Linked DNA regions of Callithrix jacchus. The protein of the gene in region 1 interacts with the protein of each later gene in a biochemical or structural test. Links are inferred from orthologs where the notes say so. Each region holds a gene or a part of one and is shown on either strand. Other genes may lie near its edges. The genes, in order: RNF4 and UBE2W.

What was found.
Region 2: the proteins of RNF4 (region 1) and UBE2W form a complex in vitro, tested with the Homo sapiens proteins (2 studies listed by BioGRID). The link is inferred for Callithrix jacchus from reciprocal best matches to the Homo sapiens genes RNF4 and UBE2W.

The regions. Positions count from the first base shown.
Region 1 is NC_133504.1:190,653,878-190,657,687, reverse strand, and holds part of RNF4 (E3 ubiquitin-protein ligase RNF4), read left to right. Parts: intron 1-2,075; coding exon 2,076-2,190; intron 2,191-3,810. UniProt on the Homo sapiens protein: E3 ubiquitin-protein ligase which binds polysumoylated chains covalently attached to proteins and mediates 'Lys-6'-, 'Lys-11'-, 'Lys-48'- and 'Lys-63'-linked polyubiquitination of those substrates and their subsequent targeting to the proteasome for degradation.
Region 2 is NC_133517.1:29,573,129-29,577,038, forward strand, and holds the start of UBE2W (ubiquitin-conjugating enzyme E2 W), read right to left. Parts: upstream 2,841-3,910; 5' UTR 2,839-2,840; coding exon 2,737-2,838; intron 1-2,736. UniProt on the Homo sapiens protein: Accepts ubiquitin from the E1 complex and catalyzes its covalent attachment to other proteins.

The DNA.
Region 1 (3,810 bases):
ATCCTCTGACCCCTTTGGGTCCTCACCCTCTTCTGTTACTTCCGGACCATTCCTGGCCCCCATTGTGCTCCAAGACCCACTTTTGATGTGATACACAAAAAAGTCTGCTTCTCTGACCTCCCTCCCACCTTGGTGCTTCACCTGCAGATCACCACATAGCTCACCTGTAGGGAAATGGATGTTCTAAGCCCTACCTCTGAAGCCCCATCTCTGCCTAGGCCAGATCAGAACAGGCAAAAGAACCTAGCCTTTTATAAGTGTGTGTGAAGAAATTGGTTAAAATTCCTGAAATTATGGTGTGGTTGTAGCTTGTGTGGTTGTGATTAGATGGTCAGTTTTCACTAGAAGCTACAGACCTGGAGGGCCCTGCTAGTTAAAAGGAGGACAGTCATGACCAGAATTATGGGAGGGCAAGAGGGGAGAGCTCTGCAAATATTCCTAGACTTACTGAGCCTGTCCTGAGTGGTCCAGGGAAGCTACTTGGGAGGAGGAGGCTCAGAGACAGTAGAGTGGGAGGGTTAAAGGTGTCTTCAGGAGGGAGGTGACATTTAAGTGGATTCTGGAAAGCTGTGCAAGAATTGGCCAAGTGAAGAAAGGGAGGGATGGGCACTCCAGGCAGGGAAGAGGCTCCGGTGAAAGGCCTGGAGGAGCAGACAGGAAAGAGGACTCCTGGGGTTAGGGAGGGGTGGGGGCATTTCTGTAATCAACCATGCAGGGAGATTTAGGGTCCAGGACCTATGGCTACCTTTTTGGCTCCCTCCATGGGGCCCAGAAACAACACAGGTAGCCGTGTAGGGCATGAAGATCTCCTTAGCAGTGTCTAGTAAGACAGACTTGGTCTGCTGCAAGGGAAGGAGGCTACAAGGCCGTTGTCAAAGAGAAGGGAGTAAATATGAAAGAGTCCTAAGTAACCTGGTGGCTGCTGGAGAAACCCTTAAAGCATTGGGCAGTAGAACTCCCCTGAGGTTAGTGTCAGCTCCCTTGAGACAACGAGCAGTTGCTCACTTGGCCTCTGGGCCCTCCTGGGGCTGGTTCTGTGTTCCTTAGTCCATGAGAAGTTGCTAGACCCAGCTTCATTTCCAAAATATCTCAAGCTGTCATTTGATAGAGTAGCATTGGAACACAAATAGAATTAGGCTTAGCCCTGTTGCCTAGCAAGGGCTTGGCTGTGTGGTGGGTGTTCCTGGGTCTTATATGAATCTCACCTTCAGTATCTGGTCCTTTCAGAGTTTCTTGGGTCAGAATGACCCCAGTAAGGCTAAGGAATTGGGGCATTAGTAGCATCTTCCATCTCTGCACAGTACTTTGCATAATGATCTCATTTAGTCCTTGTAACAGCTGTTCAAGGCTGGTACTGGTGAGGAACTTGAGACTTAGTAGTGCAGTACGTGTCCCAGGTGGTCAGGTGCGAGGCAGAGCAGGGCAGGGCAGAGGGGAGAAGAGCACGGAAACACAGTGCGAATAACAACTGACAGGCTCTGTTGGGAAGGTCTGTCTCCTGATGAAGGGAGAGGATGTTCTCAGCTCATCATCTGGGACCAGCCAGACCAGAAATGCTGGAGCATATTGGCAAACCAGCAGCCCTAAGGATGTGGAAGGAAGGCTGGTCAGTGTCATTTGCAGATCCACCACTTAAGAGTCTGAACCTTCTGGAAGACATGGCTCTTGGACAGCCACTGGGAACAGGCTTGAAACAGCTTTGGTTCTTTGTGGGAGATGATTGTCTGGTGTGAATCACATTTGATAAATCCTGAAAGGTTCAAGGCCACATTTCCCAAGGTAAGATCAGCTTTCCACAACGTATAGAAACTCAGAATACTTGAGGTTCTTTACTTTAAGAAACAAAAAGGGCTTAATATAACAGAAGTTTTACTTTCTAGAATTTCTGCTCATTGTATGTTTTGGATGGTTTTCTCTCTCTAAGCATTTAGTATTCTGGAAAGGAGCTCTAACTTCAAGTCTACTCACTGGCTTCTTAATGAGTTCAACTGTTTCTAGTGTTGCCCTTTTAGTTCTTCCTGAAACCCTGACATTCTGGTGGTCATGTGACTTATTCTTTCCTCCTTGCTACTCAGAGAAAGCGTCGTGGTGGAGCAATAAATTCTAGACAAGCCCAGAAGCGAACTCGGGAAGCAGCCTTTACCCCAGAGATTTCCTTGGAAGCAGAACCCATAGAACTCGTGGAAACTGGTAAGATTGCCAGGGGTGGCTGGGTGCAGTGGCTCAAGACTGTAATCCCAGCACTTTGGGAGGCCGAGGCGGGTCGATCACGAGGTCAAGAGATCGAGACCGTCCTGGTCAACATGGTGAAACCCCGTCTCTACTAAAAATACAAAAAATTAGCTGGGCATAGTGGCACGTGCCTGTAATCCCAGCTATTCAGGAGGCTGAGGCAGGAGAATTGCTTGAACCCAGGAGGCGGAGGTTGCGGTGAGCTGAGATCGCGCCATTGCACTCCAGCCTGGGTAACAAGCGAAACTACGTCTCAAAAAAAAATAAAGATTGCCAGGGCACTACAACTGTGGGTGTTAAAGTGTAGAGAGAACACTGCAGCAGGGTGAGCTATGAGAAGGTGTTTTAGTGTCTTTAAAAGGCTTATGCAGTCTCACACTCACCATTTACAACTCAAGGGCCCAGCTTTAAAAAAGAAAAATCGGCTGGGCTCGGTGGCTCATGCCTGTAATCCTAGCACTTTGGGAGGCCCAGGTGGGTGGATCACGGAGTCAAGAGATCGAGACCATCCTGGCCAACATGGTGAAACCTCGTCTCTACTAAAAATACGAAAATTAGCTGGGCATGGTGGCATGTGCCTGTAGTCCCAGCTACTTGGGAAGCTGAGGCAGGCGAATTGCTTGAACCGTGGAGGCGGAAGTTTCAGTGAGCTGAGGTTGCGCCATTGCACTCCAGCCTGGTGACGGAGAGAGACTCTGTCTCAAAAAAAAAAAGAAAAGGAAAAGGAAAAATCTCCAGTGCAAATGAGATGGCCCACCTTTTCTATTTAAAATTGCATCTTCCAATTCACTTGACCTTGTAAAGTACTTGACTTTCCTCTTCTGTTTTTCATTAAGACCTAAAATCACCCAAGAAGGTAAATCTGTCCACATAGCTTCCTGTGTTGGAACTTGGTGTGGGCAGAGATCAGATTGGATTTCTCCTTTCTTCCTGCTCAAGAAGTGGTTGTTGGCCAGCCTGAGTTAAGTCCCTTTGCCCTGCATATATTATTTTTATAACTAGGATGCCTGCAAGCTGGCATTTTAAAGAGAAACAATGTAGTGCAAAATGGGCCCCCCCCAAGAGTAGTGAAATTCTCTGTGGTCTCTGAGTTTCATGTCTACAAGTGAGTTCTTTAATGTTCTGACTTACTTCACTAGAGGCTAGGACCCTGTCTCTAAACCAGAAAGGAACCAGCTGCTTCCCAACGTGGCACTTGTTATCCTCAAGGCAGTCTTACCCCTGTGCAAGGGTGTGTGCCTAGGGCTGCCCATTAGAGCATTGTTTTTGTAAGAGCTCAGAGTTGTGTTCACCAGAAAGAGAACGGTTCAATAAATTATTGTATATCAGTATATGGACTGTTGGGCAGCCCTTCTTTTAGATAAAGAATGCAGTGATTTTTGTATAAATTAATATTGTACATCTAAGATTATCATGGTTTTTATTCTTGTGAGACTTTATGATACAAGAAAATAAAACACATTGGCCAGATTGCTTGAGCTCAGGAGTTCCACACCAGCCTGGACAACATAGCAAGACCCTGTCTCTACAAATAAAAAAACTAGCCAGATGTGGGAGGCTGAGGTGGGAGGATCACAC
Region 2 (3,910 bases), on another chromosome or scaffold:
TTGCACCACTGCACTCCAGCCTGGGCTACAGAGCAAGAAAAAAAAAAGACACTACCAGAAAATCTACACTAGACATTTTAAAATACAAATAAAAAGGAAAGATTTTTTATTTTAATAAAAACAGGAAGCATCTGTTTTCCATTCCTCTAACCAGAAAACATAGACTAGAGAGTGATAAGATTTAGACAGAATACGTGACGGGAAAAACTTTAAAAAGTGATAAAACAGCCGGGGGACAGTGGCTCACACCTGTAATCCCAGCACTTTGGGAGAGCGAGGCGGGCGATCACGAGGTTAGGAGATGGAGACCATCCTGGCCAACATGGTGAAACCCCATCACTACTAAAAATACAAAAACATTTGCCAGGTATGGTGGCGTGTGCCTGTAGTCCCAGCTACTCAAGAGGCTGAGGCAGGGGAATCGCTTGAACCCGGGCTGCGGAGAACGCCGTTGAGCCGAGATCGTGCCACTGCACTACAGCCTGGGTTAGAGAGGATGAGTCCGTCTTAAAAATAAATAAATAAATAAAGGCCAGGCGCGGTGGCTCACGCCTGTATTCCCAGCACTTTAAGAGGCCAAGGCAGGCGGATCAGGAGGTCAAGAGATAGAGACCATCCTGGCCAACATGGTGAAACCCCGTCTCTACTAAAAAAATACAAAAATTAGCTGGGCGTGGTGGCGTGCTCCTGTAGTCCCAGCTACTCGGGAGGCTGAGGCTTGCTTAAAACCGGGAGGCAGACGTTGCAGTGAGCCGAGACCGTGCCACTGCACTCCACCCTGGCGCCTGGCGACAGAGCAAGACTCTGTCTCAAAAGCAAAAACCAAAGTGATAAGACAGTCTAAGGTAGTAACACTTAGGGCACAGGAAAACGCACTATTGCACTATCAATCAAGTATTTGTTTCCATTGCTTAGGACACTATGTAAAGTTCAAGATTACCAACTTCTCTCATAAACAAATCTGTCTTTACCAGACACTCAATCTAACCAGATAACACACTAAGTTCTCTTGTCAAATATTATCATAAGTATTGTGGATTTTAATGTTAATCTTTAGCCTCAAATTACGTTTTAATCTTAATACCGATAATCTTAAGCTCATAAAAAATGTTTTCATCTTAACACATAAAATCTTTAAGTGGTCCTGTAGCCTATTGCGTCTACTGTTCAACTAGGATTCCACAGTTCCTTTTTCAGCCTCAAATGACGAAACTTCTCTAACGTCTCTGGGGAAACTAGTGTAAAGTATAACGTTTCCTGAAATTGTTCTTGTTTTTTCCCTGCACCATTCGTGACATCTCTTCAACTAGAAATGTTATATAAAACTTTTATGTTCTGCAGGCAAGTCCAGAGGGAGAAGCAAAGGTAAAAAGAATACTGTAAGGAAAACAGGTTGAAAGGGGAATAACATAAAAGCACAGGAGTAAATGTGAAGCAAAGAAATATTTATACAAAAGAGGAAGAAGATGCAAAAAAGGGAAGAAAAACACTTTCAGCAGAGAAAAGAAAAAAAAAAGGAGGGGGAACAGAGACTTGCTTCTTCCAGAAACAAAAGCAAAAAACACTTCTAAGAAAACGTGGTCTCTCTTTACCCAAGGGGATGTTAATAAAATGCTAAAAGGTATTCAGCTGACACTCCTATTTAGAGGTCTACTTTCTCTTCCTATGTCCTTTGATACTGCTCGTCTTCATCAATGAATTAAATGCAGGGTATACATAACACAGTCAATATCTACAAAACTACAATTGTGGTTGCCATCTTTGCCTGCAAAAATAATTAAAACAACTCCCTGGTTTCGGGGAAAAGGGGTAAATTAAGTTGGAAAACCAGAAAACCCCACTTGCTAAGTGGGGTAGAAATGACACAGGTTAACAAACGCCTCCTACCCATTTAGATTCTACTGAAGGTCTGGGTAGTTAAGGGCAACAACAAGTAGCTTTACCTCGACCGCAAGGGTGGGGCATTGTAGGGGAAAACAAAATAGAGGGCGAACTATCCCGAGAGGTTTAAGGGGGCTGAGGACTCGGCTCTCGGGAGACTGTCCATCAGGCGGTGGACTCGGGCAGCTTCGAGAGGAAGGAGACAGTGGACTGCTGGAGGAATGTCAGTGAGAATGCCGGTGCAGATGGAAAGAGAAGGTACCCACGAGCACAGAATTAAGAGTCAAGGGAAGAAGAGAGGCCCGGCGTGGGAGGCCGGAGCAGAGGCCGCTGAGCGCCGTCTGCAGCTAGCCGCCCTCTCCCGAGACGCCTTCTCGGCTCCACCACACTCAGCCCCTCGCCGCCCCTGCCCGGGCTACAACCGCGGGCGCAGCTGTTTCCGTCGGGCCAGGGACAGCGGGAGAAAGGCAACCGTGGGGCTGGCGGGGAGCAGACTGGCAGCGGGTGTGTGTGTGTGTGTGTGTGTGTGTGTGCGCGCGCGCGCGCGGAGCGGATTTTGAGACCGGAACGCCAGACTTCGCCCTTTCTCCCCCAAGCCTCCTTTATCACCCAACTTCCCAGTCGGCTGGTGTCCCCTTCGACCGACGGATACCGCACCACCCCCCACCCCACCACCCGACGCCTCTCGCCGCTTCTCACCCCTCCCCCGACGCCCTGAGCGGAGAGAAAACAGACTACCCTGACCGATCCCGAACCCGCCCGGGTGTCCCCGAATCGCGGACACCGCCCCCGCCCGAACGCTGGCACCCTCTTGGCGGCTCCCTGGCCCGCCCAGATGCAGCAAACTCCTCTCACCTGCATTGACGCCATGATGGAACCATCCCCCCACAGCCGGCGAGGCCAGAGACGCAGGGGGCGGAGCTGCCGTGCTCGCGTCACGCCGCGGGGGCTCAACATCCCCGGCGCGGGGGCGGGATCTGTAAAGGGAAGGGGATAGCGCGAGGGGATTGGCTGGCACGCTAGGCGAACGGGAGGAGGGACCGTGGGGCGGTGCGAGGGGACGGTAAATGGCGCTGTGAGTACCTTCGGTCACAGTTGGACTCGCAGGTCCCGAGTCTGGCTCCTGATTACTCTTTATCGAGGACACACGGCTCCAGTTTTGACTCGGCTACGGTTGTTTTCTTCGTCTGTACCGCGAAATCCTTATGACGTCCGGATCTGCGCAGCTTTTTTCTGTTCGTTTTGTTTTTCCAAGCACAGCTGTGCGGTACAGATTTTTCCCTTGGGATGTGCCTTCCCTACTACCAAGCCCACTCTCAGAGCCTTGGGGCCCCATAAAACTTCCCGCGCAGCTACTTTCTGGTCTTTGGAGACTTGGAAGGTTTCTTGGGGGATTTTTTTTTGAGACGAAGTCTCGCTCTGACGGCTTCTAGTATTCTTAATTTGGAGAAGAGAGACATAGGTTTCCTTGTACAACGGGATGAGGATGTAAGAGCAGAACAACACTGATATTTTAAAGGCGAGGATATTTAGATTTGTGGAGCTGAAACTTGCCTGAAAAGGGAGAGAAAATTTGGAAGTTTCTAAGCTGTGTGCAGTTTCTGCCCCTTACTCCAACTATTGTTGATACATGTGAAGTTTTAAACTTCACATGTATCAACAATAGTTACCGTTGTTGGGGCAGTCTAAATTTGATTAGCGAGTTGACCCCAGGCATTAATTTTTTTTAAATGTTATAATATACACTTATACCATTATGTCCAGACTTCTCTTAAGCCTATTTCGTGGTGGTTTTATGGTCATTTAGGGATTAACTTGGGTAGGGAAAGCTGAGCATACATAATTTATTTTAGGAATGCACCAGTTCTGCCAACATTTATCAGAAGTCACGTTTGAAGAAAGCTATTCTGGAACTGAAGATGTCATTGGTTTATGAGAGGAAAATGGAAGCCAAAAGCCTGCACCTCATGCTCTATCTTTAAAACTTAACGTGGCAGACACAATGAGTAGAAGGCTTTTATGTTACCAG